Linked DNA regions of Arabidopsis thaliana. The protein of the gene in region 1 interacts with the protein of each later gene in a pairwise test. Each region holds a gene or a part of one and is shown on either strand. Other genes may lie near its edges.

Region 1 (16,885 bases):
AAAATGTTCATTGTCATTATGAACACACCGTACGTTCTCTAATAGAATAGGTTTTAAGATATTTCTCATCTTTGTAACTCTGTAATATATATATGCAAATTGAAAAAGAAACAACAACAACAACAACGTTCCCATTTTTGAATCATGTCATTATGTCAATCTCGGTGTAATTAACAATGAGCTGGACGAAGAACACATAGCAAAACCTCCGAGAATGAAGATTGGATCAGTTCAACATCCTAAGCCTTGGTCATCAAATATATATCAGGCTCATGGACGACAGAAGTCCGAGTTTGTAACATGAGAAAAGATATTACAAATTAAGTTTATCACTACGTACGTACTTGATAAGTCTAAATGAAAAGTGATGGAACAAGAAATCTTTAGAATAAACATGTCAAGTGATCATGACATGATGCAACAGCCATGAACAATTATCAGCCACCCTTTCATTACGTAATTAACCATCACATTAAATCTCATGAAGACTTTCTTTATCTCGGCTGTCTCCTGATTAACCGAACCACGACTTCTTCTTCTCAAGAGCTCAAGTGGCTTTTTTGCTTATATTCACAAAATGAATTGATGGCTATTAAGCAAGAGTGAATGAGGATCAAACAGTGCACATTCAAACTTTGGGTCCAAAATCTTTAACGACCATATTCATCATTTAGCTAATTTTGTCTATAAATTGATTATAGCATTTAAAATCAAAATTTCTTTTATTTCCAAGACAAACAGTCATACATATATATGCCAGTTAGCTGTTGTTTTCACCTTTGAATCTTAGAATTTATTTTTTCACCAACGTTGGACATGCTCTTTATAAGAGTTTGGAGGGCTTTTAGTTATGGGGCAACTAAACCTTGCACGGAATTTTCCTTAATTAGTTCATGTTTAAATGTATCATAGTTAACTATGTCATGGTTAATCCACAAAAAAAAAAACATATTGTGTATGTCCAACTACTCATCCATCCTTTTAGGTTCATCCTTGAGAACCTTGCCATATATCTACTTCTTTTTGGGAAGTACGCTCGGTAGTGGAATGGATAGTTGCTTTTTTTTTTTTTTTAAATGGATAGTTGCTTCATCCTCAACTTTAGCCACAAAATCTAAAACTTGGATGGCAGTTTAATATTTTTGATCTGTTAAATCTCGGAGGCGCCAAACTTTTCGTTTGGGTGAAGAGATCCTTTGATAACTCCCAATACACATAATGATCTGATACCAAATTTGTTTTTATTAGTGTCATCTTATATAACATTTTTTATTTATGATAAGATGTGAATATATTACCAAAACGTAGTAAGAATTTTATTTTAATGAGATTTACTAATATAAAGTTTTTTTTGGGTTTTATTTAAATGGGTTAGGAGTGCAATTGAATCATTTTTTCAACTATTTCAACTTAAATAGTAAAAAATTGATTGAATGTTTATTCAACTCTTTTAATTTCTTCAATTACGTCAACCATTTGCACTGGTTTGTCAATTACAGCAATAAGATTTTTCTCTGAAAACTCATTACAAGAAAACTTGTTCTATTCTTTAGTGAGTTTTTAATCTACTAATTATATATATGAAAGTTAGCCAACTCTCTCCATATGATTGACACATCATCACTTTAACATTTGCCATGTATCCACTGAATAATTAATGTAAGCTCTTCAACTTTTAATTTATAGATTAATGATGTATTTATTATTTAATTTTACATATTTAATTGTACTAATACTAAATTTATTTTGTTATTAAATGTTTTTCAATAAAATAATTTGATTGATTTTCTCATACTCAAAAGATTTTTTTCTGTAATCTTAACTCAAATTATGAGTGTATAGTAGTCATGGATTAATTAATAGTTTGAATAGTTTGCATATTGTTATATATCTATATAATAAATCGCCGAGGGTGAAGAGTATGTAAGAAGTTTAATCATCAAATTCTTAGGTTTCGAGAATCCCAATATTACCTTCTATTTAATTAGTTTAAGACGAACATTGTTTAGGAATTGTGTGTATAATGCATTGTTGAGAATGTTGTTAGAAAAAATATATTTTAATATTAAGAATAATTACTTATTATATAAGTAAATGATTAGATAATTAAAAATTATATTTAAATTAAACGATACAAAAAATTTAAAAATACCGCAGCGTAGCGCGGGTGATTACCTAGTCATAGTAAAATTAGTAGTGACAGATTTTAAAAAATGACAAGCTTATGCTAGTAACTTTACAAAATAGATAGCATTATATAAATATTTTACTGTAGTATGAGTCAATACTTTTTTAATTATTAATTTAGTCAATATATGTTAGATGCAAATGTATTTTTTTTTATTGACCAATACTTTGGTAGTATAATATTAGTAGTATTAGATATTATTGGCTATAAATAGATTCAACATTGAAACACAAATCATATATATGAAAGAAGACTAACTCTCTCCCACAACTTGACACATAAGCACATGAGAGCTTGCCACCTAGACTTCATAAAATAAGTAATACATAATTAGTAATTAATTCAACATAACAACTAAAATAGGAGAATATAATTAATGAGAACTTGAACCATCACTCTTTCTACATTTTTAATTCAATATATCCTCTTTAATTTTGAGATCCACTTAAGTGGCTAAAGTGATGATAAAATCCAAACATGTTACACATATTCCTGGCCTAAAAATTAGACGATTATTATGAAAGAAACTAAATGAATATGCAGATTAAATATATCTAAGCTTTTCGATATTTATGCTAAGAAAACAGGTAATTTGAAAGATATTTGAGGAGCTATCCTTATAACTAATACGTAAGATATAAGATTATGACAAGAACTTAACTAAACTTTCTAAGAATATCGAGTTGAATATGCTTAGATTGAATATGCAAAGACATGATTAATAAAGACATGTTATATTTTTAGTGTAAGAAATAATTTTTCTAAAATTTCACTGTCTCACAATCTATACATATAACTAAAAAAGCAAGGATATATAAATTCAAAAAAAAACTAAGAATCTAAAACAACAATAAAAAACAACTCAAGCACATTCGTTTTTCAGATGAACTAATATAGTTGGACTTTTCAAAAACAATTACAAAACATATTTATGTTTCAAAACCTATGCATTCAACTTTACTTTATATAAACAGACATTATATAAAACAATTAGTAAATAGTAATACGTAAACCCGCACGTAGTGCGGGTACTCATCTAATTTGTAAATTAATAATTCCTCAATTTGCACCCAAAAAAAGAATTCCTTAACCACGAAAAAAATAAAAAAACAAAATTACAATTTAAGGGGGAAAGTTATATGAAATTGCAAATATAACCACCAAACAAACAATCGACTATCGAGGTTACCCTTAAGAAAATCTTTATTCGCAAGATCTCTCTCTCTCTCTCTCACTCGACGCACTTTAGAAAGAAACCCTAGTCCGACGACCTCTCCTTCGCCGCTGAATCCTCATCGCTGGTCAGATTTCTATCTATCTCGCTCTTCTATGTTTCCCTATCTCGTTGGTCAGATTTCGAATCTTCTTTTTGTTCTCATGGTTTTTGAGCTCAAAACTTTGGGGTTTCAATGTCTCGATGTTATTTCTTAGCGAGGTTTCAATGTTGGCTAAGTGAAGTTTTGGTATTGTCATTTACAGATTCTTGGCGGCTTTCTTTTTGATGAAATTGGATTACGATGGCTGGATATCCTACTAATGGATCAGTCTACGTTTCAAATCTCCCCTTAGGAACTGACGAGAATATGTTGGCTGACTATTTTGGGACCATTGGGTTGCTTAAGGTATGGTATTGGCCAGGTACTAATTGTTGCTTTTGTTTTGACGTCATTGCAATCTTTTATAGGTCACTAGATTTTCGAGTTTCTTACATTTTTTTCTACATTGCTTTTAGAGAGACAAACGAACTGGTACTCCTAAGGTATGGCTGTACCGGGATAAAGAAACTGATGAGCCCAAGGGAGATGCTACTGTTACCTATGAGGATCCGCATGCTGCTTTGGCTGCTGTTGAATGGTTCAATAACAAAGATTTTCATGGAAACACCATTGGAGTTTTTATGGCCGAGTCGAAGAATAAAAATGCTGGTGATGCAGTTGAGTTTGTTGAATTCGATGGAGGTGCTGAGGAAACAAATGGAGGTGCTGGAAGGGGGAGGGGTCAGGCTGATTCTTCGGCAAAGCCATGGCAGCAAGATGGTGACTGGATGTGCCCTAATACAAGGTCTGTGATGTGATATCGGTGAGGAGCTTCATCTAGCTCTTGTTTCCGTTAATTTGCTAGTTTTTATATATTTTATAGTTTCTAGCAGTAGTGTTCTCATACTCTTTCATTGGCAGTTGTACAAATGTGAATTTTGCATTCCGTGGGGTTTGTAACCGCTGTGGAACTGCTAGACCAGCTGGTGCATCTGGTGGCAGCATGGGTGCTGGTCGTGGAAGGGGTCGAGGTGGAGGCGCTGATGGTGGGGCCCCGGGGAAGCAGCCCAGTGGTGCTCCTACTGGTCTCTTTGGTCCAAATGATTGGGCTTGTCCAATGTAAGCATTCCGATTAGGTTTGAAATAGTTAGTTCAGTTTCAGAGGATAATGAGCGTTTGGTACTTGATTAAAACACATCGCAAGAAACAATTTATATTCAGTAGCAAAAGAGAACATTCAGATGGCATATAGCGTTGCTGGATATAAAATTAATTTGTCTTATGTATGGAAGGAATATAGCTTGTATATCAATGCTTTTGATGATGTCAGTTGACTCTTTACTTAGAAAGAAGTGATGGCCCGCTCTGCTGTGCTGTGTCTCTTAAACTGGTCCAAATTATGTGTGGAGGCACATATTTTTTCCTTCTTTTTTGAATGTTGATTCTAATTTCGTAATTTTCCTTCAGATGGCTGTTAATCTGAAAAATGTAATTTGAAACGTGGGTAGGTTGTAGTCTTGATCCTTCTAAGAAGTTATATTTGTGAAGATAGGCTGCCTTCAATTTTCTGTGTCTGATACAAAAAATGGACTATGTTTTAGTTTAATTGCAAGTTATGCTATGTGTCATCGAGTAGCTTAACTAAGAGGCTGCACTGTGTGAATGTGAGTTCTTATGCATAATGCACTTTTTCTTTTTGCGCTAATTCTTTCAGGTGTGGCAATGTCAACTGGGCGAAACGTCTAAAATGTAATATCTGCAACACCAATAAACCTGGTCAGAATGAAGGTGGTGTGAGGTATGACTCAAAGCCAGTGATAAGATTGCCTTTGTATTGTTATCTTGCAATGTTCGAGCTGAGGATTTGGATTATAAATGATTTTACAGTGAATGTAGGAGAGGTCGTAGATTTTCTGTTCGATGTTTGTAGTTTTGTTGTCAGCAGGGTATATTTATTCTGCTTTTAGACAGGGCCTAATAGATACCTGGGAAAAAGTCTCAATACTCTCTTCTGCAATTTGAACGAGTGCTTGTTTTCTTCGACAATTGATTTATCCCACTTGTAATGTTTTATTTTGGCCAAATTAGAGTTGCATTAAGAAACATTAAGGTTTGAGTTTGGAAGGTTGTTTTTATCTAGACCAGTGCTTATTCATTTTTTTTTCTCTAAATAGGGGAGGCCGTGGTGGTGGTTACAAGGAATTAGATGAACAAGAATTAGAGGAAACGAAGAGACGCAGGCGTGAGGCTGAAGAAGTAAGATATGCTTTTCCTGAAGAGTTCTTTGTTTTTTGTTTTTTTGTTGCAATTCGGATGAGCTCTCAGTTTTTTGTATATTCCATTTGACTTATACGTCTAATATATTTCAGGATGATGGTGAAATGTATGATGAGTTTGGGAATCTAAAGAAGAAGTACCGTGTTAAAACAAACCAAGCTGACACCAGACCTGCTGTTGCTGCTGGTCGTGCTGGGTGGGAAGTCGAGGAACTAGGTAAGTTCTGTTTAATTTTAACTAATATGAACTAAATCTATGCAATCATCAAATAGGTTGAGCTTATGAACAGAACCTTTCCACTATAATAGAGATTTATTTGGCTCGATCTATATCTACTCTCTGTGTATAGTCTTCAAAGAAAGTTTCTGCTTGTCATCTAGACACTTGAGTGAAACTTAACATATATGCGGGGAGGGATTTGTTTGAAATTTTACATTAAGCTTGCAGCTAACTTGCCTATAGCCCAAGCCTAGTGGGGATCTCCAATAAACAGTGTTGTTCCTTGTTAGAGTTTTCTTCTTTTCACTGAATAGATATAGAGGAAGATAGAAAAGAATGTTTATTGCTGCTTCCCCAAAAATAGAAAGGTCATGATCCAATGTAGTTGTTCATAATTTATATGAATGTGGCAGGTATTGATAAAGATGGAAGAGAGAGAAGCAGAGACAGGCAAAGAGACCGTGGTAGAGATCATCACTACGATAAGGATAGACGCAGAAGCAGAAGCCGAGAGAGGGAAAGAGGCAAGGAGCGTGACTATGACTATGACCATGATCGGGACAGAGACAGAGACTACGGTCGCGAACGTGGAAGCAGGTACCGTAACTGAGAGATTACTCATAAGTGTTAGGGTTTAGTTTCTCATCTGTTTTGTCGACTTACTTTTACAACGGTATCATTACAATGTCTTCGCCTTTTGTTTACTTATTGTGTGAAGTGAAACTCATTTTGGTTTGAATCAATGGCTATTGTTTTTCACTTGTTTTGGTCTGATTATGTTCTGAGAATACTCCATGTTTATCGTTTCGAAAATTGGTAATTATGGCAAAACATGGTTAGCGACGTCAATTGCTAATTTAGACGTGTATTAAGTATTATTTTGTCTTTTGTAGTATTATTTTTAGTTGTCCCTTTGTTTTTTTTTCCATCGCCAATCATTTCATCGCTGTATGATTTTAATGGGAATAAAAAAAATAGAACAAGAAGATTTTTGTGGACAATATAGTTTCTGAAACTATAATAGGATAAGAAAAAATTAAGCTTATTTGTGGGGATATATATTAATGTCATATCATTGTCATAAACATGGTCGGCAAAACTTGGGACGGCAGTTTACCAGAATAATCCGGTCGACAGAATTCAACAGTTCCTCTCTCTAAAAGATATGAAGGAGATTAATTTTGGCTTTGTTAGCAAAGATGGCCGGTCCTCTTCTGGCAAATCCGGCTTTTACAAGCGGTTTTGGCCGGCTTTTATCCTTCCTCCGCCGTTCGATCGGTTGTTCTTACCGATTGCTTTAGTTTCTTTTTCAGTTTTTCTTTCAATAATTTCTAAAGATTTCAATTGGAGATTAATTTTAGGTCATAATAGCCTAAGATTAAGTTTTCGGATTTGTATCTTTAGAAAGTTTGATTTGCAGAATTACCTCAAGTATGAAAGGAAGTTTTGTTTCCAGCATATTGGGATTGCCTGTAGCCGTTTCTACATGTTTATGGAGCTTCGATCGATCAAATTTGAGGAATACTCAGATTTTTCTTTCCTCATTACCTGTTTTTGCCAAATCTCTTGATTGATGATTTTGGAATTGAATTCTCTGTTTGTGTATCCTCCCTTCTCTGTTTAGCAGTTTCCGGTGAGAAAAAAACAAAAATCGATGTTTGCCCTTTTTCGACGTTGATTGTGTTCACCGGATCGGAGTCTTTGACGGCACAGGATGACAGGAACGTTTCATCGCTTCTCTTGCAACACGTGTCTTGTTATACGATCGTGTTTTGTTAAAGAGATATCCTTCCTTTAAAGAAATGTAACTAAGTGGACCTTTGTTGGGCTGTATTCTGTGGATCATTAATAAACATAATCTTTCCAGTGAAAAAAAAAAAAAAAAACATGGTCGGATATGGGAAATACGATGAAAAAAGCTCGTCATGGACTCGCACTTAAAACAGGAAAATCTTTTTCGTCTAGACCCCACTTATTCACATGCACTACGACATAATTCCAAATTCTTTTAAAAAAAAAGAAGAAGTTAATAGAAAGAGTGACCAAAGTACAGTATATGATGATATTTATAACATACAGTTAAACTTCTATAAATTAATAGTCGATAAATTAATAACCTTTATAAATTAATAAATTTTTCCAATCCCGAATTTGTACCAGTGTAAAAAGTGACACAAATCGATAAATTAATAAGATAATAACTTTTTTGAAAGTTCTATGTAAATATATGGTCCCATCAATATCATAAATTAATAATTGTATAAATATATCAATTATATATATACATTATATGTAGGAATTTTTCTGAAATATAATTCTAATATTTTTTTGCTTAAATTTGTATTTATTTTTATTTAAAATTTAGTTCTCGTATTTTACTGTATCAAAAACTTTTGGTGTTGTTTTCTAAACATGATATTATTGTTTAGTTGTAATTGATTCTTGAAAGATATTTTCTATAATGAAAAAAATCCTATAATTTTTTTTGAAAAGTTACTAAATTAGGAAAATCTCTCTATAAATTAATAAATATTAATTTATCGATAAATTAAAACCTCTCTAAATTAATAAAATTTTGTAGTCCCAACATTATTAATTTATAGAGGTTTTACTGTATGTTGTGTTTAGTAATGCTGTATTAATTTTTTTAGTGACCTTTCAAACACTTTGAAGTTTTGATATTCATGTTTGAGTTTGAAAAGCTCATGTACAATATGAACCGAATACTTGACAGTGAAAAATAATTATCATAATTTCTTAAAAGTCAATCCTTCTCAAAGATATAGGAATCAAAATTCTACAGCATTCTTTTAAAAACAACATAACAAGACAAACAAAAGAAATCAATTTATGGGAATTTGAGAGACTTTGGAATTTATGTGGTTTTATTATACTAGCTCAACATAAACTTTGTCTTACTTACCTCTAATTTCTCAAACTTAGATTCAGTTTATATATTTTTGTGCATTTTACAGGTGTAAATAAAGCCAAATGAAACACTATATATATCCACTCATTTACATGTGCCCACTATAATTATTGCTCTATTCAATCCAAGAAAAAAACACAGAGGAAGAACAGAAAAAAGCTCACAAAGTCACAAGACCTCAGTAGGCTTCCTAGTTGTTCTATGAAATGTCTCCTCTCAACGATCTTAAGATCAATCTCAATGGCCAATACACATTCTTCCTCAATCAGGTAAAGAACCAAACCTAAAACTCAGTTCAAAAAACCACAGTCTTGATTATGCTCTGTTCTTAATTCTCTATGTGCTCTGTTTTAGAACGTGATTTCAAAGTACTCTGGAAGCTTGAGGAAGATGATTAAACAGAGCAAAAAGAAGAGAAACAAGAAAAAGAGAATCATCACTATCGAGATTAATGATTTTCCAGGAGGACCAGATGGGTTTGAGCTGGTTTCAAGGTTCTGTTACCACAACGGAGAAATCTTAATCGACGTCTCAAACGTCTCGACTTTGTACTGCTGCTCTGTTTTTCTAGGCATGTCGGAGAAGTTCTGTTTCTCTAATCTCTTCCTTCAGACAGAGAAGTTTCTAGAAGAAGTGTTCTATGGGTCTTGGAGCGACATCGTTTCGTGTCTCAAGAACTGCGAGCAAGTGTTCTTCCAAGCAGATTCGTATGGTCTTGTAGATAAACTCATTTTCGCAGCTTTGAACAAAATCTCTCAGAATTCAGACGATTTTTCTTCTTCTTCGCTTTCTTCCTTCGCCTCTTCTCTTTCTCCTGAGATGGCCAAGAACACGTCAGAATCAGACGGTAGGTATATTTCGCGGTCTGTTGCTTGCGGAAGAAGCAACGAGTGGTGGTTCGAAGATATGACAAATCTTTCCCCGAAGATCATATTGAAGCTAGTTATGATCATTGGAGCTTACAAAACCAACATAAAAAGCTTAGTCCTAACCAGATTTCTTCTCCATTATCTCAAGACAAAACTCCAAACCAAATCAAGAACTACCACTGAGCTTATGAGGAACAAGCTCGAGTACTCAGATTTAGCTGACACAGCGGTTAGAGGAGTGATTTCCGCAGGGACACGTACGTTTTCTTGCAGGAAACTCTTCTGGATTCTTCGAGTTTTATCCAGTTTTAGCCTAAGTAGAGAGTCAAGAATCGGTTTAGAAACCCTAATAGGAGAAATGCTGGAACAAGCAACACTTGATGATCTTCTGATATCTGCAAGAGGAAGCAGAGAAAGTGGTTTCTACAATGTTGATCTTGTGATAAGATTACTAAAAGTATTTGTGAAGAACAGAGAAGAAGAAGAAGAAGAATCAAGAGAGAGGAATATGAAAGAAATTGGGAAATTGATTGATAAGTATTTGAGAGAAATATCTCCAGATCAGAATTTGAAAGTCCCCAAGTTTCTTGGTGTTGCAGAGAGCTTGCCGGATTCAGCTAGAGATTGCTTTGATGGAGTTTACAGAGCAATTGACATCTATCTACAGGTCAGTTTTTTTTTTTTGTTAAGTTATAAGTTTTACTATTATTTTTTTGTTTTTCTTGAATTTCTTCACCAACTAAATGATTGAGCCAAAAATGTTTTTTATCCTGCAAAAGTGAGACACAAAATAGAGAATAATTTTAATTTTCTATATGTATTGGACATATAGAAGATGACAAGTGCCATACAGATTTCAATACCATTTGCTTATTAATACATTTTGGCTTTATATATTTATTATGAAGAGTTGAAATAGAGTCAACTATTCTTTTATTCATCATAAACATAAAAGATTTGAAGTTTGAGACTTTGGGATATAAAGCCAAACTAAGTTTTAATATAAAACCGAAAATGTATCAAAGAAAAGATTTGAAGTTTTTTGAGATTAACGTGTATTAATAATATACACACATGGATGTATATATATGATTAAGAAGATTTGGAGTCATCCTTTAGATTCTTCACTCTGTCTTGTTACTGCCGTGGGGTTCATGTCAGACCCACAAGGCCACAACAGTCTTGACTGTATGTTTCTTCTTGTTTTTCTCTGTAATACTATTAGTAAAAATATCTTAAAAAGGAATAATTCTGGTAAGGTACTATCAGTTACACTTGAAATACATGTCAAAGACTAACAATTATTCATGTACTTTTCTATTCACATGTTTTACTGGAATTAACAATAGTTCATCATTTTCAAAAATTGTAGAAATAATGATTATTATGTCAGTGTATGATTGATTCCTTTATAATTTCTGTTGTTTTGTTATTGTACAGTCTCATCCGAATCTAACACCCCAAGATCGAACAGAGATATGTCGATGTCTCAACTACAAGAAACTAACAATGGAGACGTGCAAACAGCTCGCCAGAAACCCTAAGATCCCTCCAGAAATCGCCATTGAAGCACTCAAGTCCAGATGTGGGAATCAAGAACACACAACTTCAGATGTTAAAGTTGCAAACAAGAGTTTTTCTTGTAGATATTCAGAAGAGAAGAAGAAGCCTGTAGTATTGCATCTCGAGATAACAGAGAAATTAGCCGAGAGGTTGAAGACTAAAGGAGGATATAATTTGAAGGTTATGGATAGTTTCAGAGAAGGCTTATGAGGAAAATGGTAAACGTCCCAAGTCATGATTCAGCAGTCACATCTTCCAATTCATCTGGCAATCTCATTTGCACCCCAACAGTGTCGAGAGTCTTGTACAAATCATCAGATTCAAGGGGTTTCTTATCATCGAAAGCTATGAATTCACAAAGCTTGCCTTTCACTTCGATCCAACTAAATCCTGGCGATTTCACCACCTGTTGATCTTTCATTTGCTTTCTTACCCGAGCGACTTCATCCCAGTTTTGGGATTCCGAGTACAAATTAGCCAAGAGAGTGTATCTCCCACTATGACTAGGTTGCAGCTTGATCACACGGGAGGCTGCGTATTTACCTAACTCATAGTCTTTGTGTAACAAACAAGAGCCGAACAGAGCTCCCCATACCACATTTGTTGGCTCCATTGGCATTCTTTCTATCAAAGCTTTCGCCTCTTCTAGCAAACCTTTTCTTCCAAATAAATCAACCATACACGCATAGTGATCCGCTTTTGGCTCCATATTGAAACGTCCCTTCATGCTCAGGAAAAGCCTTCGACCCTCTTCCACAAGACCTCCATGAGCGCAGGCACTTAAGACAGCCATGAAAGTAACTTCATTTGGTGAAACATGACTACTCAACATGGTATAAAAGAGATCAAATGCATCTCTAGCATATCCGTGTGCTGCAAATCCATTAATCATCGCGGTCCAAGTATACACATTTTTCTCATGAAGTCTCTCAAAAACAAGTATAGCTTCCTCTAAACACCCGCACTTGACATAAAGATCAATCAATGTAGTTCCAGCTGTAGTGTTTATCTCAATCGAATTCTTAATCATATAACAATGCACCCTTCTTCCTCGGTGAAGTGCCCCGACATGAGCGCACGCCGAAAGAACACTGCTTAGAGTCTTCTCATTAGGCGCAACATCACTCTTTAACATCTCCTCGAAAACCAACATCCCTTTATCGAAGCAACGGCTTTGCACATATCCAGCAATCAACGCCGTCCAAGTAACCACGTTTCTGCTAGGCATTTCATCGAACACTTTCTGGGCATCATCATAACAACTACATTTCCCATACATATCTACTAGAGAACTTCCTATGAACACATCGCATTTCACTCTCCCTGTTTCTAAGTAAAGCCCATGAACGCTTCTCCCAAATCGAACATCTTCAACCTTCCCTGCAGCTTTCAAGACGCTAACAACGGTCATTTCGTTAGCCGCGACTCCAGTCTTCTTCATCTCCACGAAATACACCATTGCTTCCGAAGCAGAACCATTTCTCACAAACCCATCAATCATTGCAGTCCAAGTAACCACGTCCTTATCTTCAGCTCCATCAAAAAGACGACTTGCAAAATCGAATAACCCAGAACTAGAATAACCCGAAATCAACGAATTCCTGACAAAAGGATCCGAATCCAACCCGAATTTAACGATATGAGCATGAAACTGAAACGGGTTCGAGTCTCTCAGTTTGAAAACCGCTTTGAGAAGCGGAGGAAACGTGTGGCGGCTAGGGATGACGCCGTTTCGCCGCATATGACGATAAGCAAGAAATGATAACCGACGGTTGAGAGTAATCCCGCCGGAGAAGTGACCAATGAGCGAATCCCATAGTTGAATGCTCAGAGTTTGGAGTTGACATAATAAACGACGAGCGTAGCGGAATTGAGTTGCGGCGGTGCAGCAGCGACGGAGAAGACGTGAGAGAAAGAGATCGCGACGAGTATAGAATATCGGAGAAGTTAGGAGTAAGCAATGGATCTGCTTGAGATGAAGAAAGTGTAATGGAAGATCAAGCAATGTTTTGAGCTCAATCATGTGAATTGAGAAGTAAGCAAAAGAGAGAGAGAGAGGGGGTGGTTAATACTTCAATTCGAATTTTCCAGTTTTCAGATTTCAGATTTCAAAGGAACCGAACCGAACCGACATTAAACCAAAATTCCCATTCAATTGAATCGAAGTGACTCTGAATATCAGTCGGTTTAGTTTTTATATATTTTTTTTAATAGCCGTAGAGGGGGAGACGAGGGTTCGATCCACGTGTCAAACAGTCCAGAGAAAAAAACAGAAGTAAGAAGAGAAGAAAATGAACTTCTTCTTCTGCAATTTTTCTAACTTTGTTAGCTTCTACAGATTTTGCTACGAGCCATTGGAGAAACTGTTATTGCCCTAAAGATATGCGTTATTTTTCTCCTTCTTCTTCGGATACGATTCATAGATGATTCCACAAACTTCTTCTTCGAATTTTGATTTCCGATTACCTGTTGATGTGTCTTGCACTCTGCTCTGTCCATGCTCTAATGAGCTCCGCGCGGTTTTTTTTACAAGGAGTCGGGTTCTGCGTCCGAGCGTCAAAATTTCGAACTTTAGGTTTATTTCCTGTGGATTTCGTGGGAATTCGAAAAACCTAAGATTGACGGATTCTAGTAGAAAGGCTGCAAATAGGTTTGTAATTGCTAGGTTTACGAATGAATTTGAAGACGAGGGTAGTTCGAAAGAGTCCAATGACCAAGCCAATTTCAGTAACTTTAGGGAAGATCCGATAGTGGATAAGCTTAGGACCCAGTTAGGTGTAATCCATCCACTTCCGTCACCGACCATTAATCGTAGTGTAATTAGTCTATTCGTCTTCTTCTTTTTCGTTGGTGTTGCTTTTGATAAGCTATGGACTTGGAGAAAGAGGCAAAGAGAAACAGGTGGAGATGGAAACCAACGAGGAGTAGGGCCATGGCCACAGGTTCCCACCAGCTTCTCTTTGTTCCTAGAGAAGGATTTGCAAAGGAAAGAGTCCGTGGAGTGGGTCAACATGGTGTTAGGGAAGCTCTGGAAAGTGTATAGAGCGGGTATTGAGAATTGGCTCGTTGGTTTGTTACAGCCTGTGATTGATGACTTGAAAAAGCCTGATTATGTGCAGAGAGTTGAGATTAAGCAGTTTTCTTTAGGGGATGAGCCGTTGTCTGTCAGAAATGTTGAGAGGAAGACATCTCGCCGTGCCAATGACTTGCAGTACGTGTATACTTGTTTGGTACTAACAAAGTTTTCTGCGTTGATTAATTGCTGGGATTGCTCTTACTTGGTTTCAATTGTATATTGTTTTGCAACCATTGAATCTCTTGATGAGATTTATTTGGCTTTCATTTCAGTTAGAGTTCACGAAATAATCTTCATTTGAAGAGTGACCTTTCTTTGAGCATGATTTATGTACATAATTTGGGGCATTGGCTACTTCAAACTGTTTATCTGTGGCTCAGTTCGAGGTTTCTTATCATGTCATTCTTTCCTGTTATAGGTACCAAATTGGCCTTCGGTATACTGGCGGTGCACGCATGTTGTTAATGCTCTCTTTGAAATTCGGTGTTATCCCAATAGTTGTTCCAGTTGGTGTCCGAGATTTTGACATTGATGGTGAGCTTTGGGTCAAACTAAGATTAATACCGACACAACCTTGGGTGGGAGCTGTATCATGTTCGTTTGTATCACTTCCAAAGGTCACATTTCAACTTGCAGCATTCAGATTGTTTAATCTAATGGGTATGCGTTTATCTTGGTCTTCTGATCCATTCCCGTGATATTGTTTGTGTTGCTTCCTTCCTATCCAAAAAATTAAACAGACAAGCCTTTTTTAGTGAAATTTGAAACTGGTGACGATATAATGGGGAAAGGTTAAGTCATCGGCGATTGTTTTAGTGAAGAGAGTTTTAGCTTTCGCGTTCGCCGCAACTCACACATTTTATTTTTCTTTTGTCATGAATGGCATGGATTATGAATTCAGGAATTCCCGTTCTATCAATGTAAGTTCTGTTGTGGCTGTTACTTCACGATTTTTTATATTGAAAAACTGTCCATATCATTGTTCAATACTACATGGACTTAGTGGATAGAAAGGGCCACTTTGCTTGCTTAGATGATGTTCTGTATTTTATCTAACTGCAATGAACTTTTACTAATTTAGCGAGCATATAGTGTAAGATGCTTTGGTGCATTGTTCTGGTTAGATACCAGTATTTCATTTTGTTTACTGTGGAGTCTTTAAGCTCCTCGACGTTTTGCAATAGTGGGTTCCTTCTTCCCTCCTATTATTTTACCCAGCATCGTCTCTTACAGGTTCTTGACCAAACTGCTGACTGTGGATTTGCCTCGATTATTTGTCCGACCGAAGAAAATTGTCTTGGACTTTCAGAAAGGAAAAGCTGTTGGACCTGTTTTAGAAGACCTGAAATCAGGAGAAATGCAGGAAGGCAATAAGGATTTTGTCGGGGAACTATCTGTTACTCTTGTTGACGCCCAGAAACTTCGATACATGTTTTTTGGTAAGCTATAGTTCCTTTACATGTCAGTGTTTCCTTCATAGTTGGAAAAGTGGAATAGACAGACAATCTATTGCTGAAGTATCAGCCTCTTTGTGCAAGTTCAGTCGACTTTCTTGGGAATAAAGTAGCTATACTAATTGAGTCTATTGGTGAGATGTTTTGTTTTCCTCGGTAATTGGTAACAGGTAAAACGGATCCATATGCAATTCTCAGATTAGGGGATCAAGTTATCCGTAGTAAAAGGAACAGTCAAACTACTGTCATTGGGGCTCCTGGTCAGCCAATTTGGAATCAGGTGAACTGCTTTGGATGGTTCATTCACAATCTGGTGGTGAATTATGATTATTTAAGGATTGAAATGTAAATAGATAAGTGTGTATTCTTTAACTTTGCAGGACTTTCAATTCCTTGTTTCAAATCCTAGAGAGCAAGTATTACAAATTGAGGTCAATGATCGTCTTGGGTTTGCTGATATGGCTATTGGTACTGGAGAGGTAAATAATATTTCCTTGGGTACATATTTTTTTTTGTAATCTGTAGAATAATAGGCGTTGAGTACGTATTCTGTGGATCTCTTTAATGATTGCTTGAGGAATGTTGCTTAATATTTATGTTACTGTCTGCATAGCCTTATTATTTAGTTATATGTCCAGGTTGATCTCAGATTTCTGCAAGATACGGTTCCTACAGACAGAATTGTGGTTTTGCGTGGTGGTTGGAGTTTGTTTGGAAAGGGATCTGCGGGTGAGATACTGCTACGGCTTACATACAAATCATATGTGGAGGAGGAAGAAGATGACAAGACCAATGTCAAAGCCATTGATACTTCTGACGATGAAATGTCTGATTCAGAAGAACTTGGCTCATTTGTGCGGAAGGGAAAGCTTTCGTCAGATGATATTGATCAAGAGTCATTTATGAACGTGTTGTCTGCATTGATTGTGAGTGAGGAGTTTCAAGGCATAGTTTCATCTGAAGCTAGAGACGGTATAATTGATGGTGGTGACTCACTTGGGGCACCAGTACCTTCTAAGCCAGATACTAGTAAGGGGTCTGAAAGAAACGCAGA
Region 2 (16,668 bases), on another chromosome or scaffold:
GGAATTCATTATTATTTTTAAATTTTAATGTGTCTATACTTTCATGAATTTTGTTTTTTATATCTATAAAACAATTTATGATATGTCACTAGCTTACTATACATATTTTTTTAGTCATTAACATCATTTCTCATTGCTTTAGGCTATATTGTATTCTCTACAATATAAATTGAAATAAGGAAAAAAAAAACTTACAATGACTAAATTTTAGTCACCAATGGAACTAATTATTTTGTAAGAAGGTTGAAAACTACTTTTTTTTTTTTCTAGAAGAGTCGGCGAACAGTGATGGTTAAATGAATTATGGGAGCCATGTTTGGCCTTCGTCTGCTGTCAGCCAAGCCCCTGCGAAACCCCACCCCTGGCCTGTGCAAAAGTTTACGCGCGCATTCTGAGAACGTGCTTTCCACGCTCCGATTAAGACGTCACTAAGAGTCAAAGCACTTTGATTTTCTCTTCTTTTCTCACAAAACACTTTCTTTTTTTATATACAGTATGATTTTTTTTTTTGTCGTCATTTTTTTTTATTTATTTATTTAATATGCCTCTTATGGTAAAACATATTTCAAGAAGGTTTATGTTTCTATAAACTAAAAGTTATCAACGGCAGATGAATAAATATGGAACTAATTTTCTCTCTAAATATCCAAAAATATGAGAATGTTGTCCATGGTTTTGGGAACAGAATGAGTGACGGAAAAGCCATGAAAAGAAAAGGTATCTTAGGAATATCATCTTCCTTTTGCTCGCCTAACCTTTTTTTATTGTTCTTCTCTTTTTGAATTTAAAATATTTTTCTGCTCTCTAGTAAACATTTAAACCATCGTAATAAATTGAGAATAAAGTGTGTGTATGTTTGTGTGTGTGAATGTTCGGTGTGATTTCAATTTATTGGAGGATAGAACTGTTGTGTCGAAATTGACACACCAAGGTGCCAAGTTGAGTACAAAATAAAGATCCTCTAGAGGCTACATCTTCGTCTAACAATCCTCATAAGTCTTCTTCTTCTTCTTTTTTTTTTAGTTTTCAACACACTAATGTCAAGTGTTTTGTTCATTTCTTTTTAGTTATAATATGTCTCTTGAGAAAATGTTGATATTTAGTTTGTTGTTGAGCCATTTATTTTCTGAGACAAATTTGGTCGTTAATGGATAATATTCTTAGAGATAGATCTACAGTACTGTGACTTTTGTGTAAAAACAAATTTGTAGCCGTATTTAATGGGCTATTTCGTATTTGGACAATAGCCTTTTATTTTGTGGGCCATGATATGTCAACACTGCTCAATGCTTATAAATGTTGTCGACATTTAACGAACGATATAACACCAAAAACTTCGAGTTTGTAAAGAAAAATTATGAGAGGATTACATTATGGTTAGCATATCTGACTATAATAAATTGAAAAATTACATTACTGGTTGATGGAAAGACAAATTTTTATTGAAGTGTACTTATTTCTTTAATTTTATTGGAATATAATATTCGATATGTGTTATTATGGTTAGCGTCTGCATATATTAATTTACGATTACATTATTGGTTAATGGAAATACAAAATTTTATTGAACCTTAATTATTTCTATAATTCTGTTATAAAAATATTTAAAACAGAGGTCAATATTTTTAAGAGAATGTTCAACAATCTGGTTAAGTAAGGGGAAAGAAAAAGCTTAGCTGGCTTTGAACCGGCTCGGCATTCCTCTGTCACCCACCAAACCAAACCGAGTCATCCTTCGTCGTCTCTCTTTCTTTTTCTTCAACTTCCATTTTTCGAAAGGCGACGAGAAAAAGTATTTCTCCAGTTTTGGAATTCGCCATGGCTGTTGATAGCAGAATGGATCTGCTAAGCGAAAGAGCTGTGTTGATGAGAGCATCTCTTCAAAAGAGTCAAACCATCACCGATAATGTTGTTTCTATCCTCGGCTCCTTCGATAGTCGTCTGTCTGCTCTTGAAACCGCCATGCGTCCTACTCAGGTGTGGTTTAGAGTGCTCCGATCATCTTCTCTGATTGTTTTCTAATCCAGATCTGGTATTATAGCTCTATGGAGTTTTGCTGACTTGATCGGATTTTGGTTTGACTGTGTTTTGAAATCTCAGATTAGGACTCATGCTATAAGGAAAGCTCATGAGAATATTGATAGGACTCTTAAGGCTGCTGAAGTTATTTTGTCTCAATTCGATCTCCTCCGTCAGGTTTGTTTTACAAATCTTGCTTCTGATTTTACTAACATGGATCGGTATAAATAGATAGAATTGATAATGATCTACATTGAGAATAGATAGTCTTTGATTATGCTCTCAATTCAATTCTAGGCAGAGACTAAAGTACTCAAGGGGCCACATGAGGACCTGGAAAGTTATCTGGATGCAATTGCTCAACTCAGAAAGATTATTCGTTATTTTATGAGCAACAAAAGCTTTAAGAGTAGTGATGGAGTTCTCAACCACGCAAATAGTTTGCTTGCTAAAGCACAGTCAAAGCTGGAGGAAGAGTTTAAGCAGTTGCTAGCTTCTTACAGGTTTGTGCTTCTGCGCCTGATAAGAGTTTAAGAAGCTACATGATTTCAAACTTGATGCTCTTGCTATAACTATGACTCATACCTTGTAACTTCAGGGAACAAAGCTATTGTGGATTTTTAGCTACTTTTTCTAGTTAGTATTTTTTTGGGAACTGGTCTTCGCTCTATGATGGTCTTACTTCTTTAGTTATCTTTCAAATAACCTAGAATACTTAGAATGACCTTTTATCTAAATTATCGGAGTTGTCACCTGACAAAGATTTTTTTTTGTGAAATCAAACACTTGTCAATATACAAGTTTCCTATGATACGAGTGTTCCAGACAACTGGTTTTAGATGGAAGAATGCTAAGGCCAACTCTTTTTTTTTGTTATAATCAGTAAAGCGGTGGAGCCTGATCGCCTATTTGATGGCCTTCCCAACTCACTGAGACCATCCTCAGACGGGGATGGAGGTGGAAAACCCCACGGAGGACATCACAATGATGACGCGGAAACTGCTGCTTATACACTTCCAATCCTCATTCCGTCACGGGTGTTGCCACTTTTGCATGACTTGGCACAGCAAATGGTTCAGGCTGGTCACCAACAACAGTTGCTACAAATTTATAGGTGAACTATTGATTCTTGGTCATTCATCCTGTATGTCGTACAGTTCATTTTCAAATCAGGCTCTTAGCTTAAATTTTCAACTAATAATTGTAGCATGAGTCAAAGTACTGAGTCAAGGTATAGTTTCTTTGAACGATTGCGGGTATACAATTAACTTACATATAATTCTCACCAGTCACCGCTCATTTACAAAGTAGTTTTTCCATGGTTTCTGCAAGTTGTGAGTTTATATTTGACTATCCTTCTGCTGTTTCACTAGTAAAGCTAAAGAGAAATGTTTTTGAAATATGAATTTCTATTGACACTCATCAAATAGTTTGGCTGTGATGTGCACATCGTGTACTCCGCTGTTTGTGCTTACCTGATCTGAAAACATTATTGCTAGATGCAATTCTGTTTGTCTCATATGTGTAATGCATTGGAGAAGCTTTGTCTTTTTTCTTCTATATGAACTACTAGTATTGTCAGATATAAGCAGCGAATTGCATAATCTACTGGCATTTTCCCAATGCATATTTAAGATGCATTTGTGTTTTTGAATTTGTTATTAATCTCCTTCTGTTCAACCTGTTGTGTTTTGTTCAGGGACACACGTTCCTTTGTCTTGGAAGAAAGCTTAAAGAAATTGGGAGTTGAAAAACTTAGCAAAGAGGATGTCCAGAGGATGCAGTGGGAAGTTTTGGAGGCCAAAATTGGAAATTGGATCCATTTCATGCGCATTGCTGTAAGAACTCTAGTTAAGGATGGAAATAACTTTAACATGTTTTGTTCACTTTTAACTCAAGATATTTTGTTCAACAGGTTAAATTACTCTTTGCTGGAGAAAGACAAGTATGTGACCAGATATTCCGAGGCTTCGATTCTCTAAGTGATCAGTGTTTTGCAGAAGTTACAGTGAGCAGTGTCTCAATGCTACTTAGCTTTGGGGATGCTATAGCCAGGAGCAAGAGATCTCCAGAAAAGTTGTTTGTACTCTTAGACATGTATGAGATAATGCGGGAGCTTCATACAGAGGTAATAATCTTCTCATTAATATCATTAAGTCGCCATACATTTACTGAAGAGTCTTCTGTTAAATGGAAAAATTATTCTTTAGTTTCAGCTTTTGGTGGATTTTTTCTGATCTTTAAGAATGTCAGTTTTCAGTATCATGAACTTTGGTACATACTTGATTCACCTTCAAACCTGTATTCATTTGTATAAGCTAGTGAGGTGAAATGTTATAGAATATAGGATGCTGCAAACGTCTAGTTTTATTGACACTGACACACATAACGATTTACCATATTAAGACGTAAAACTTCAGTTTGCATACGCATAGAGTTCACCACTTACTTCTTAGAGATGTCAAACCTAGCTGCTTTGTTTACTTGAGGAGTAATATATGGAAAGTGATTGTCTTTAATGTTTTTCTTCCCATGTGGAGTTTCTATCAATCAGATATGTTTTTGACCAACTGAAATCCCCACCATAATAAACAGCATGGCACACAGAGAAAAAACTTTGTGATACATATGTAGTGGAAGTTTGCTATCTAGGACGACATAAAGTGTGAATTTTCTTATGACCAGTTTATGGTATAAGATTAGATGGTACAATCTCATGAAATTTGTGTCCATGGACAGATTGAGACAATTTTCAAAGGGAAAGCATGCCTCGAAATTAGAGATTCTGCGACGGGCTTGACAAAGCGGTTGGCGCAAACTGCTCAGGAAACATTTGGTGATTTTGAAGAAGCTGTTGAGAAAGATGCTACAAAGACTGCTGTTCTAGATGGAACTGTCCACCCACTAACAAGCTATGTCATCAATTATGTCAAGTTTTTATTCGAGTAAGTACATCATATATACTCAACTTATTTCCTCGAACTATTTGCGTATTGTTCTTCTCCATACTGCTATTTGCGTATTGTCCCTTTCCACGCTTTAATTGATGATCATTGGTGTCAGCTACCAAACAACATTGAAGCAACTTTTCTTGGAATTTGGAAATGGAGATGACTCAAATTCGCAGCTAGCATCCGTAACGATGCGGATAATGCAGGCGCTTCAAAACAACTTGGACGGAAAATCGAAACAGTACAAAGATCCTGCATTGACACACTTGTTCCTGATGAACAACATTCATTACATGGTCAGATCTGTGCGCAGGTATATTATTTTTCTCGTTTAAACTTTAAAGGCTGATCTGGTTTTATTAAAAAAATAAAAGAACGCACTCATTTAGCTTTATTCATATGATAATTTTTCAGGTCAGAAGCCAAGGATTTGTTAGGCGATGATTGGGTTCAAAGACATAGGCGTATCGTGCAGCAACATGCAAACCAATACAAAAGAGTTGCCTGGACAAAGGTTCTGTCTATTTGTCTAACTCTGTAAAGAAACACTATTATATAAAATTTCATTAAATTGTTACTAAGAAACTGTTACATATTTTGTAGATACTACAAAGCTCATCGGCGCAAGGTTTGACCTCATCTGGGGGAGGAAGTTTAGAGGGAGGAAACAGCAGTGGAGTTTCAAGAGGATTATTAAAAGAGAGGTAAGTCCTAAACATGTAAAATAAACACAGTAATTGGCAAATGTTTATATATTTGGTAATGATGATAAATCTGTAAAAAAAAAATGGAACAGGTTCAAGATGTTCAATATGCAGTTTGATGAGTTGCATCAGAGACAATCGCAATGGACAGTTCCAGACACAGAGTTAAGAGAGTCACTAAGACTTGCTGTTGCTGAAGTATTATTGCCTGCTTATAGATCATTCCTCAAACGCTTTGGGTAAAAATCTCCTTTCTCTCTTTACTGCGAAGGCTTTTCTAATATTTGATTGAAATGTAAAAAAACCTAAATGAGATTTTAACCTATGATCGATGCAGGCCTTTGGTTGAGAGTGGGAAGAATCCTCAGAAATACATAAAGTATACAGCTGAAGATCTTGAAAGATTGTTGGGTGAGTTGTTTGAAGGAAAGTCTATGAATGAACCACGCCGGTAAAAAAACAACTAAAAGATGATGAAAACTAATTGTGTAAGGTAAATTTCTATCAAACTCTTCTTTTTTTTGGCTTACCTTACATAACTAGGTTCGTTGCTATTGTATATGCAGTGTCAACTTTTCGTTTTTTGTATTCTACTATTCTTTGGTTGGAATGAGAATGTGTAAATTACTTGGAGACAGAGTTGTTTCCTTTTGTATACGTTAAACGTTTTGAAATAACCATGGCCTAATAAGTCTAATCTCAACTCACAAGGATATGAAATCTTTTTTCTTAGAATGAAATTAATCGGAAATCAAAATCCTAGGCGTAATTTATAAAAAAAAATATGCAGTGAAGGAGCTAAGTTATAAGTTGATATGATTGACAATTGCTTTGAGACGAGCTTTGGTACTAAAGATCGAGCCAATAATATTTGTCCGAACAGCTGAACTAAGCTTGGGGACAAGATTGTCATGCGGATCAATTCTGTTATTTTCTTAATGGATTTTAGGTGATTAATCAGTTGTTATTGAACAGAACAAGACAGATAGAGCTCTACCGACTTGCATACTTAAATGAAAGAAATATGATTTATTAGTAAAATAAAGAGTGATGAGATGGTTTTGTTGTTTTAAAACACACATGTTTGGTAATTGGCATATTCCTTTTAGAAGATCCAAATTCTCCCAACATCTTTACATGGACTTCCCCATTTCCATCATCTCCTTCCACTTTTTTCCCAAAATAATATAAAAAAATGATAATTTGAATCGATGTAATGAGTGTATTCAACCTCTTGTATAATTTGTCTCCATGACCAAAGACAAAGAGAGAAGCCATAAAAACCCTAACAACATCCATTGTTGAAACTCTCTTTGGCACAACACCAAACACACAAAATATGGCCATCCCCTAAAGAAACTGAAGCTCAAGAACCCTCTGAATCTATCAGAAGATCTCACCAATAAAGGGTTTTGAGAGGTTCAAGTTTCTCTTTATGGGATGGCCCCAAACACAAGAGTACTCACAAAAGGTAAGAAGAAGAAGAGATCTCTTGGAGATTATGATTGTGAATGTTCGTGTGTGGGTGTTGTGTAAATGATCATCATCATCATCATCATCATTATCCAATATCATAATTATCAATATGGTGATGATGATGATGATGAGGATTGTGTGTGAATGGAGCGATGAAGATTGCATGAAGGTTGATGAAGACAAGCTTGATGTGTCTTTTGTTATCCCTCGTTTGGGCAACTTCGATCCTTTGGCAAGCTTCGGTTCCCCTCGGAATCAGCAGATTATGATTACTATAGCTCTTATATGTTTATGTTCCGTGTTTACTTTGTTTCCGGTTTAGTTTGGTTTATTGTCTTTAATTTCGTCATGTTTGTGTTGAATGTGTGTTGTTGTTATCCCGTGTGATGCACCATTCAGGTGTGTTCCTATGTGTGTGTGAGGAATAAAAGAATATTCGGTTTTGATATCTAAAATCAAACCCCACTTCTACCTTTCATTAATAGTGAGTGTCTTCAAACAATTTTGTTTTAGCAATCTGTGTATACCTTTATCAAAAATACTTTTAAGCTGGCCCATTCTTAGCCCATTAATAGTCCAGTTTTAGCCAATTGAAATCGGGTAAATTTAAACACATTCATTCTTCTAATATGAGCATCTATGAAGAAACCCAAGAGAGCCCTAATCAAACCGTGTCTGACAAGCTATTAAATAAAAAGTCGTATAAAGTAAAACAAACTAGAAAACCTACTACAGAAAACGTAGGGGTATCTAATTATGTTTTTTTCCGAATAATACATGATTATTGTTTCTAGATAAACAATCCATAATAATAATATTAAAAAAAAAAAAAGATTAGATAACCCTAAATAACCATTATGTTATTCTAAAGTGTTTTAGAAAAAATTAAAATATAGTCGCCCATCTTTTGTTGCGTGTATCCAGCTTGGTTGCTTCTTCAACTTCTTCTTCTCCTTTTTCCTCTCACTATTGAGATCAGTCGCAGTCATCACGAGTTTCTTGACCTCTAGTTTGAGTTCCAGAATCCGTTCTTCAGAAGTCTTCTTCTCCAAGGAAACCATGTCAAGCTTTGACTGCAACCAATCCAGGTTAAAACCGGCTTGTGTCAGATCACACATATCCTTTGAAGCTTTGCTCAATTCTGCTTCGGTGAGATAACCAAGAGGCGTGTGGTAAAGTATCCCGATGATGTCGCAGAGAAGGTTCATTTAAGTATTCCTGAGAGCTTGGTTTTGCACTTTGACATGGTCTGTAGTTTCTGGATATGTCTGAAAAATCCACTTTGCTAACGTTATGTGACAAGAATCAATGGCAAAACCATTGACTCTAATCTTTCTTCGTCTATGCAACAACGGAATTTGGTCCCCCATAACTTGGCTTTTGATTTCGGTATAGGTAATTAATGTCAGAGCAAAAAGTTTTTTTTGTTTTTTTTTTGCTTCATGAATGATTGTTTTAGAACTCGCTCTCTTTATATAGAGGAGGCAGAAGCTTTCTAATTCCTAAACCAAATCGAAATCGAGTTTGTTAATTCTTTTAGATTTCGGTTTAATTTTAAAATAAGATAACTTTAAGATTACAAAAAAGGAAATCATATATATATATATATATATATATATATATATATATATATAACTGTTTTTTTTTAGATTTTGTTTGAACTAGTAATAATTAGTGAACCTGAAAATTCGCATAATGTTTTCCCTTTCTGAAACGTCTCAAATTTATCAATAATTAGTGGATTATTTTTAAAAGTTGCGATTGCTTGATGGGCTGTGACAAATAAACCTAATGTACTCATAATTGGGTAAATACACTATACACATTTTCTGAACCAAACTGTAATGAGAAAATAAGATAAGATCATTATCAGCCAAGGCATGATGAGTCAGTAGTCAAAATCCTACAATGAAGATGTTGAAAACCAGAGCAAACTCAACTATGGGCCCTTTTGAGATCTCCATCAAAGCTCCAATCTTTAACCATGCACAGATGGATTATTCGTGGATCTATGCCACACTCATAGATGAAACCACTGCTCTCAAGCTTTACAGTCAAAGTAACATTATATCACATTCATTGACAACGACCTTAAGTGTAAGTAGATGGGGATGCAACGTATATTGTTTCCTGTAGAAAGCATTTGCACATGTTTTATGGAGGATAAAATCATATTTTATACATGAATAGTAATTACCTTCATAGATAGCACATGCTTGAAAAAACGCTTTTTATAGGTGTTTTCATCATAAAGTTTATGACATTAACATGTTTTTTCAAGCAGTACGATGTTCTATCTAAAAGGTAATTATTATTCATGTATGGAATGTGATTTCATTCTCCACGAAACATGTGCAAATGCTTCCCGCAGAAAACAACATGCGTTACATCCCCATATATCTACTTATACTTAAGGTCGTTGTAAATGGATATGATGATTGAAAAAGGTTACTTCAACTGCAAACCTTGTTATTGTTATTCCAATCACGAGTATCACATAAAAAGGATTGTCACTTCCGACTATGAGCAATCATTTTTTCCTAGCTTTACACCCAAGAGAAACGCCACGATACCATGTCTGCAAAATAGGTAACTATCATTAGCTACTACGATCAAAATATCGAATGTCAAAATTTCTTAAAACACACGCAACCACAAATTTGTTCTAGATCTTGCGAGTATAAGAGTCACTGGATATGAAACCTGGACTATCGATGTGAAGAATCTCCCCGCTTGGCGAGGTGGAAGTGATATGGTCAGGGGAAGAATCGAGATGGTAAACGCCGGTATACTCTTCGGATTTAGCTAATGTATTTCGTCGCAATTTGATTTAGATGAGAGTTTATAAGAGTATACAAGATGAACTTCTTGGCTAATTTATCACATCTTGAAGATTTGGATGGTTGTGATAATGTTCTTCTCCTTCTTTCTCTTTACTTTATATACTATACATAACAAAACTCAACGTGGCTTTGCACATGGTTGTCTTCATATGATAATAATACATTAATGGTTTCAGATCTTAGATCTAGATACAGTTCGTTTCGTGACAGCTGTTTATATTAAAATAGAAAGCTACATTAATTACTGCATTCAAAGTTACTTTATGTTAATGATGTTGATTGGTTTTTTAAATCACATTGGATTCGCACTATGGAACAAATATTGACTTCTTAAAGTTTGAAAGTTTCTTTACGGGCTGAAGCAAGCCCATGGGCTGTAACAAATTCGTAAAGCTATTTAAGATCCCAATATGCTCATTGTTAACAAAAAGTTATTAGTCTGCATGAAAATCAATATTATGAAATTAAATCCGTAATGAGTAATGACAATTCTTTTCTTTTGTTCTTCTGTTTAATTTTACATCTGTGATGACTTATATTTAGTTACTTACGAAACCAATTAAATGCAAAGATTTACAAAAGCGGATGTGAAGAAGAAGACAACGAGCTCTGTTTCCTTCCCAGACGAGACATTATGATCCAATAGACAAATCCTGCGATGATGAAGCTGAAAAACAAAGCATTGTCGTAAACAACGACGAACCCATTTGAGATCTTCGACAAAGCACTGATCTTGTGTAGAAAACCAGGCACGACTGGGATTATTCCGGCGACCAAAGCGACGACCGCTGCGACATTATACCCCTTAGAGAAATAATATTCGCCGGAGGGACTCAAAGAGTACAAATCTCCAATGTTCAGTTTCATCTTCTTGATCAGGTAATAATCGACAAGAATTATGCCTCCGATTGGACCAAGAAGCGCTGAGTACCCTATGAGCCATGTGTACACAAAGCTCTCGCTCGATTTAAGCAATCTCCATGGCTGAAACACGATTCCGAGAACTGCGGTCAAGAAGGCTCCTCTTCCGAATGTGAAAAACTTAGGGTTTAGATTCACAAGCGCATTTGCTGGGGCGACCACGTTTGCAGCTATGTTTGTAGTGAGTGTGGCTAGGGATATTCCGACGATAGCGAGTAGAGTTGTGGCGAGGCCTCCAATTTGACCGAGAAGCTCAATCGGATTGGATATGACTCTTCCAAAGATGATACTTGTGGAGGACGTAACAGCTACGCCAACAAACGTAAACAACCCCATGAAAACAGGAAGACCAACTTGACCGATGATTTGATCCGTCTGTGATTTTGCAAACCGGGAAAAATCAGGGATGTTTAAAGCTAGAGTTGCCCAGAAGCTTATGTTTGCGGTTAGGGACGGGAAGAAGAGAGTCCAGAACTGAGCAGAGGTTAGCTTGGATGATAAGGAAAGCATGTGACCAAATCCACCGGCTTTGAGATAGGACCAGGCAAGGAGGCAGGACGTGAGACTGATCAGAATTGGAGCTGAGTACTTTTCCAGCTTTCTGATTCCATCCATACCTCTCCAGACAATACAAAGCTGAGCCAACCAGAAGACAATAAAACAAGAGAACTCAAGGGGAGAAGTGCCGAGCCAAGGTAGTGTATGAGACAAAGCAGACTTCTTAATATGACCCGGTAAGAGCAAGAAGATAGCTTCACCTCCGATCCATGTCTCGATACCATACCATCCGCAACCGACTAATGCTCTGAGTAGAGTCGGGATGTGAGCTCCACGGATACCAAATGATGATCTAGCAAGGACAGGGAAGGAAATTCCGTACAGAGTGCCAGGCTGAGCGGTGAGGACCAGCGGCACAAGTAGTATTAGATTGGCTGTAACAACTGTGGCGATCCCTTGCCACCACGCCATGCCAAGATCCACTAGGCTCCCGGCGAGGTAGTAAGTAGGCACACCAACTACGAGACCGATCCATAAACTTGACATATCCAACCATGAAAACGTTCTCTGGCTTGGAGTTGTCGGTTTCAAGTCGTCATTCGTGAGGGATGGGTCGAATTGGGACTCGTCGTACCCGTGGTCATTAATTTCTGAGCCGGTCATCGCTGAGAGTCGTGGGCGGATGACACCAGATCGGCTCAAAACCAAGTTGTCACCAGGCAGGATCGGACTGAAGCTGTGCTTGCCCAATTCATAGTGTTTGCTACTTTTGCGTTGAATGTCGAACGTAGACACACAAGAAGTGTAGGAACTCTTGTGGCTTGAATCTGTGAATGAGACATGTTGATAGAGTTTAGCTTTTGTGCGAGATCTTAAAGAAGAAAGAGAATGACGATTGTGTTTGTGGGGATGGAGATTGAGATGGAGACTAAGGCTTAAGCAATTGGAGACCATTGAGTCTTCTTTCTCACACAGAAAAGAGAGAAAGAGAAAGAATTGTGAGATGGAAATTGTGTGGTGGTGTTCTGTTTAAGTTCTCTAAGAAACATGTGGTTGGACATGAACCATGTGTTTAGTGGATGTTTCGTCGCTATCACATCTCATTTTCTTTTACTTAATACGGAAAAAACTTAAAATAAGATTCGATTTCTTTCTTTTTTCAGCAAAAAAGAGTTTTTTTTTTTCTTTTCAATCTTACTTGATTCGTTGACTTCCATTAGCCTACTCATTTAGAGAAATTATTCAAATTAAAGAACGTGATTTGATCCCTAAAGACTTCTTTCTTAGCTATAATTATCTTTCAAGAGAGTATTTGATGGATACAACATACATGAAACAACTCAAACACTTGTTTCTTATTCTTTTTATATCTAGCCTAAGCACCAATAGCCACATTGACTCGTATACTATCAATAGATATACTACAAACACAAGAACATAGTAGTGTGACCAACCTTTTGGCTTCTGAAGATGTTATTCTTTCAAGCGATCAATCTCTTTCTCCCACTTCAGTCCAAACATTTGACGGCCGAAAGGAACGATCAGATTGTACCTGAATACCTGTCAACAAACAAGAGACCACATAAGCAAACCATTATATATCGCAAACAGAATCTTGATTTGTAGTTGAATACTTGCCATGTTATTGATTTGTTTCAATTCGTTTTTCAGCAAATCTGATCTCTCTTCCCATCCCGATTGGTCTTCCTCGAGTTTCATTGTCCATGCTTTCTTCAGTGAAACTCTCCATTCTTTTGCTTTGTTTCTTATCTCTTTGTTGAGCTCCACCCATTCGGGAGCAAACCCGTTCTTGTTAAGAATCCGATACAATGTATCCTCCGCTGGGTCTGCGTGAGGATTTGTATGGAGGTTCAAGGGTTTGCCTTTACCGGGTAAGTTCTCAAAGTGGCCTTCTTCCATTGAATGCCATATCCTTTGCTCGACCACGTTGATTATATCAGTCTCTGACCTGCAACATCATCCCATGTTAGTATCCGTTACAAGCAGGTCAAATCAATAACATATTTCACAAGAAGAAGAATCTCATCTGGGAGATTAATAAAACCACAATGCAAGAAAAAAGCAACAAGCTAAGCTTCTCTGACAACAAAATGTCATATATTCCACGGAAAAACATAAAGCTACTGCGCAATTGTGTCAACATCTAAAAAACAAAAGACTCAGCAACATACTCAGACGCATCGCATAAAGGCCAGCTGTTCTACCTATTGAAAGATCACCAAACACTACAACTACTTATCAAATAAAAGGTTGATGACAGTCCTAAAGACTTGGCCTCTTTTATATTCGAGAGCCTCTCTCACAGCTTTCTCATCAGGCACAAAACCCTTTCCCTTCATTTCTTGCAACAATTCTCTAGCTGATTCTTCTTTTCCCTCTCTTACAAAAGCTTCAAACACTGCAGTGTAAGTGGCAGCATTAGGGCTCATGCCATTTCCCATCATTTCCAACAAGTACTTCTTCGCATCCTTATGTGTTTTACCATCCGCTGCAAGCCCTTTGATCAAAACTGAATACGTATAGGCATTAGGCGAAACACCACTGGCGAGCATACGCATGAAAACCTTGAGAGTCTCCTTGGCCTGGCCTGCATTAGCATAGGCCTCAACAATAGCAGTATGAGCCACCACGTCTGGCATTCGATTCTTATCTTTAATCTGAGAGAAGAGCTCTAACGCCTCATGTGTGCGGCCATCTTTAGACAACGCATCAAACATTTTCACAGCTTCATTAGTAAAACCCTCTGTTCTCATCTTGTGGAATATTTCTTGGAGATTCTTAGGATCCTCTGGTTCCTCAATCGCCGGTTTCTTGCTGAAAGGGTCATACGGAGGAGGTGGAGGCTCCTGCTTCTTTGAATCTTCAGTAACCTGAGTTTCAGTTTCCTCATCTGAATCATCATCAGACAGAGAGAAATTGACTTTGGTGTTAACTCGCTTAGTCTCTGAACTGAATTGCCTTGCAAAAACTCCACCGCAAAACCATGGAAACAGTGAATTTGAATTGCGCTTGGACCTTGAAATTGACATGTGAAGAAGAAAACGCTAAATCAAGGTAAGAGACGTGTCCAGAGATTTGAATTTTCATTAAATTCTCAACGAAACCTATGAACCCTAACTATATAACATATCGATTCCAAAGTCCTAATACGTACAGTAATGTGAGCACAGAAAGATGGAAAGAGACTATACCTTACGAAATCGCGCCGCCCACGTAGCTCCGGCGGGAGTTTCCGGTCATGGACTGCGTCAATCACGGCAGAGAAACGCTCTGTAGTCTTCTTCTCTTTCCTCTTCGATGACGCCGTCAAATCATCGGGAGACGACCACCAAGAGGACGAAGACGAATAAAAGGCGAAAGCTCTAACGAAATCAGAAAACTCGCCGCCGTTAATCGCAGATGAAGTGATATCTGAGGCTGAGAAGCGATTTCCGAGGGATAAACACGATGGACGTGACGAGGGTGACGCAGCCAATGACCTCGCGAGACGAACCGCCATGGCCGAAGCTCAGGGAGAGAGTAGTCGGAATGTTCTGGATAAATGACTTACGTAACCCGGAAGAGTGGTTTAGAATACGCGCCGTTTACGCGTTTAACACATCATGCCGTTTTCTTCATAAGAATATACAAAACGTGCCGTTTAATTTTCGGGTCTGCTTCGGCCCATATAACTAGCCCATTTATAGATTGTTGGATACGTGGATTAATTAAAAAGAATATTTTGTTGATGATCCAATAGATAGAGAAACAAACCCATTAGACATCGTGGGATTTGATATTTTGTTGGACGTACATATTTTTTTTTAACAAAATCACATCCCTAAACGTTATTCAATTGTTTCTTACTTTCTTTTGTTGATGAAACATCGTTTGCCACCACCTATTTTGCTGTGAAAAGTTGCTAATTTTATGGAAAAGGTGTTTCAGACCAAAAACAATAAATCTACATAAATAATATTGAACTCAAAAGTCATGTATTAATTTCTTGTAATGTACATATTTTTTAATTGTGACAGCATAACGTGTCAATCAGTTTAGAATTAGGTACCAACACTTTGACTGTATTAAGACATGATGCATGCTACATAAAAGTTCATGTTTTAATATACAACAATGTTTCTTATCCGTATGTGTATTTTATATATTTCATGATTTGAGATATAATGAGAAGATAATGTTGAAGCTTTTAATAGGACGAATTGTTGTATTGTATGTAACAAGTTGTGTATATAAACTATGGCTGATGGCTCTCACAAGAAAACGTTGTCTTATTTACTCAGTCGTTGTGATGTCCGAGGCGCTTTTTTTTTGTTTGTTTATTAGTATGATCACTGAGATATTCTAACGGACGGGACATAAACGACGATTAAAAAATTATGGTACCTGATCATCGTTGACGCCAAAAATGAGGAAATATTCGGACATTTTTATCCCTAATCCCCAAAACAATTCCCATATAGTGCAACTAGAAATGTGTCTCAGTTTCTGCGATAATTTCCTCGACTTCGATTTGGTGCTTCGACCATTCATCCTTCAAACCCGTCCCTGTGCCAGGTGAGTTTTGTAGATATTCATGACGTTTTTTTTTTTTTTTTTTTTTTGGTCATCATATTCATGAAGTTTAGTTTTACGAAAAATTGAAAATCGAACTCAAATTCTAGATTTCTTTGCGTCAAGAAATTTAGAAGTAATCAGAGACTTAATCAATTTTTGAACTAGACGTTCAAAACATGGAGAATATTTCACAAACGAAAATACCTTTTTTGGACGGATCAGAAATTGTCATATCTCAGATTTGTAATTTGTTTCAAGAAGATTAATTATCTTTTAAGGTTTTTCAAATTTTTAGTTTTTTCAAAAAATTTAAACATTAATTTAAGTTACTAATAATTAGGGGAAAGAAAATATTATAATTAGGAAATATAATATTATAATTAGGAAATATATGTCAAAAAAAAAAAAATCTAAAAATCAATTTTTATTTAGATAATAAGATAATAAATAAATTCTTGTAATATAAACGCAAAACCTCAGAAAATAAAATTCTGCAAAATTTTATCATGTAATGCATACTCTCTAATTTTCTTAATCCTTTTTTTGATACAGTTTATATGTTTTCTTCATTATTCATCTCATCCATGTGATCATGTCTTACTAGCTGCTTGCACCCATTGAATTGCAAAATCTAGAGAAGCCAGGGATATGCAATGAACACTGAATTAGCTTTGATCGATG

What was found.
Region 2: the proteins of AT1G50290 (region 1) and AT5G03545 interact in a protein complementation assay, tested with the Arabidopsis thaliana proteins (one large-scale study listed by BioGRID).

Annotation. Positions count from the first base shown.
Region 1 is NC_003070.9:18,618,483-18,635,367, reverse strand, and holds AT1G50290 (uncharacterized protein), read left to right. Parts: upstream 1-6,915; 5' UTR 6,916-7,105; coding exon 7,106-7,510; 3' UTR 7,511-7,817; downstream 7,818-16,885. Other genes in the region: TAF15 (TBP-associated factor 15), read left to right, coding at 3,706-3,810, 3,921-4,249, 4,366-4,563, 5,159-5,242, 5,619-5,700, 5,814-5,937, 6,354-6,550; AT1G50280 (Phototropic-responsive NPH3 family protein), read left to right, coding at 9,076-9,138, 9,224-10,405, 11,179-11,511; AT1G50270 (Pentatricopeptide repeat (PPR) superfamily protein), read right to left, coding at 11,534-13,324; NTMC2T5.1 (N-terminal-transmembrane-C2 domain type 5.1), read left to right, coding at 13,725-14,512, 14,796-15,037, 15,279-15,297, 15,611-15,816, 16,002-16,111, 16,212-16,310, 16,470-16,885.
Region 2 is NC_003076.8:887,788-904,455, forward strand, and holds AT5G03545 (expressed in response to phosphate starvation protein), read left to right. Parts: upstream 1-6,794; 5' UTR 6,795-7,259; coding exon 7,260-7,472; 3' UTR 7,473-7,730; downstream 7,731-16,668. Other genes in the region: EXO70A1 (exocyst subunit exo70 family protein A1), read left to right, coding at 1,819-1,977, 2,101-2,196, 2,317-2,522, 2,730-2,807, 2,903-3,133, 3,719-3,857, 3,935-4,147, 4,759-4,964 and 5 more; AT5G03550 (MATH domain/coiled-coil protein), read right to left, coding at 8,026-8,358; AT5G03553 (uncharacterized protein), read left to right, coding at 9,059-9,209, 9,836-9,870; NCS1 (permease, cytosine/purines, uracil, thiamine, allantoin family protein), read right to left, coding at 10,567-12,366; AT5G03560 (Tetratricopeptide repeat (TPR)-like superfamily protein), read right to left, coding at 13,665-14,448, 14,625-14,932.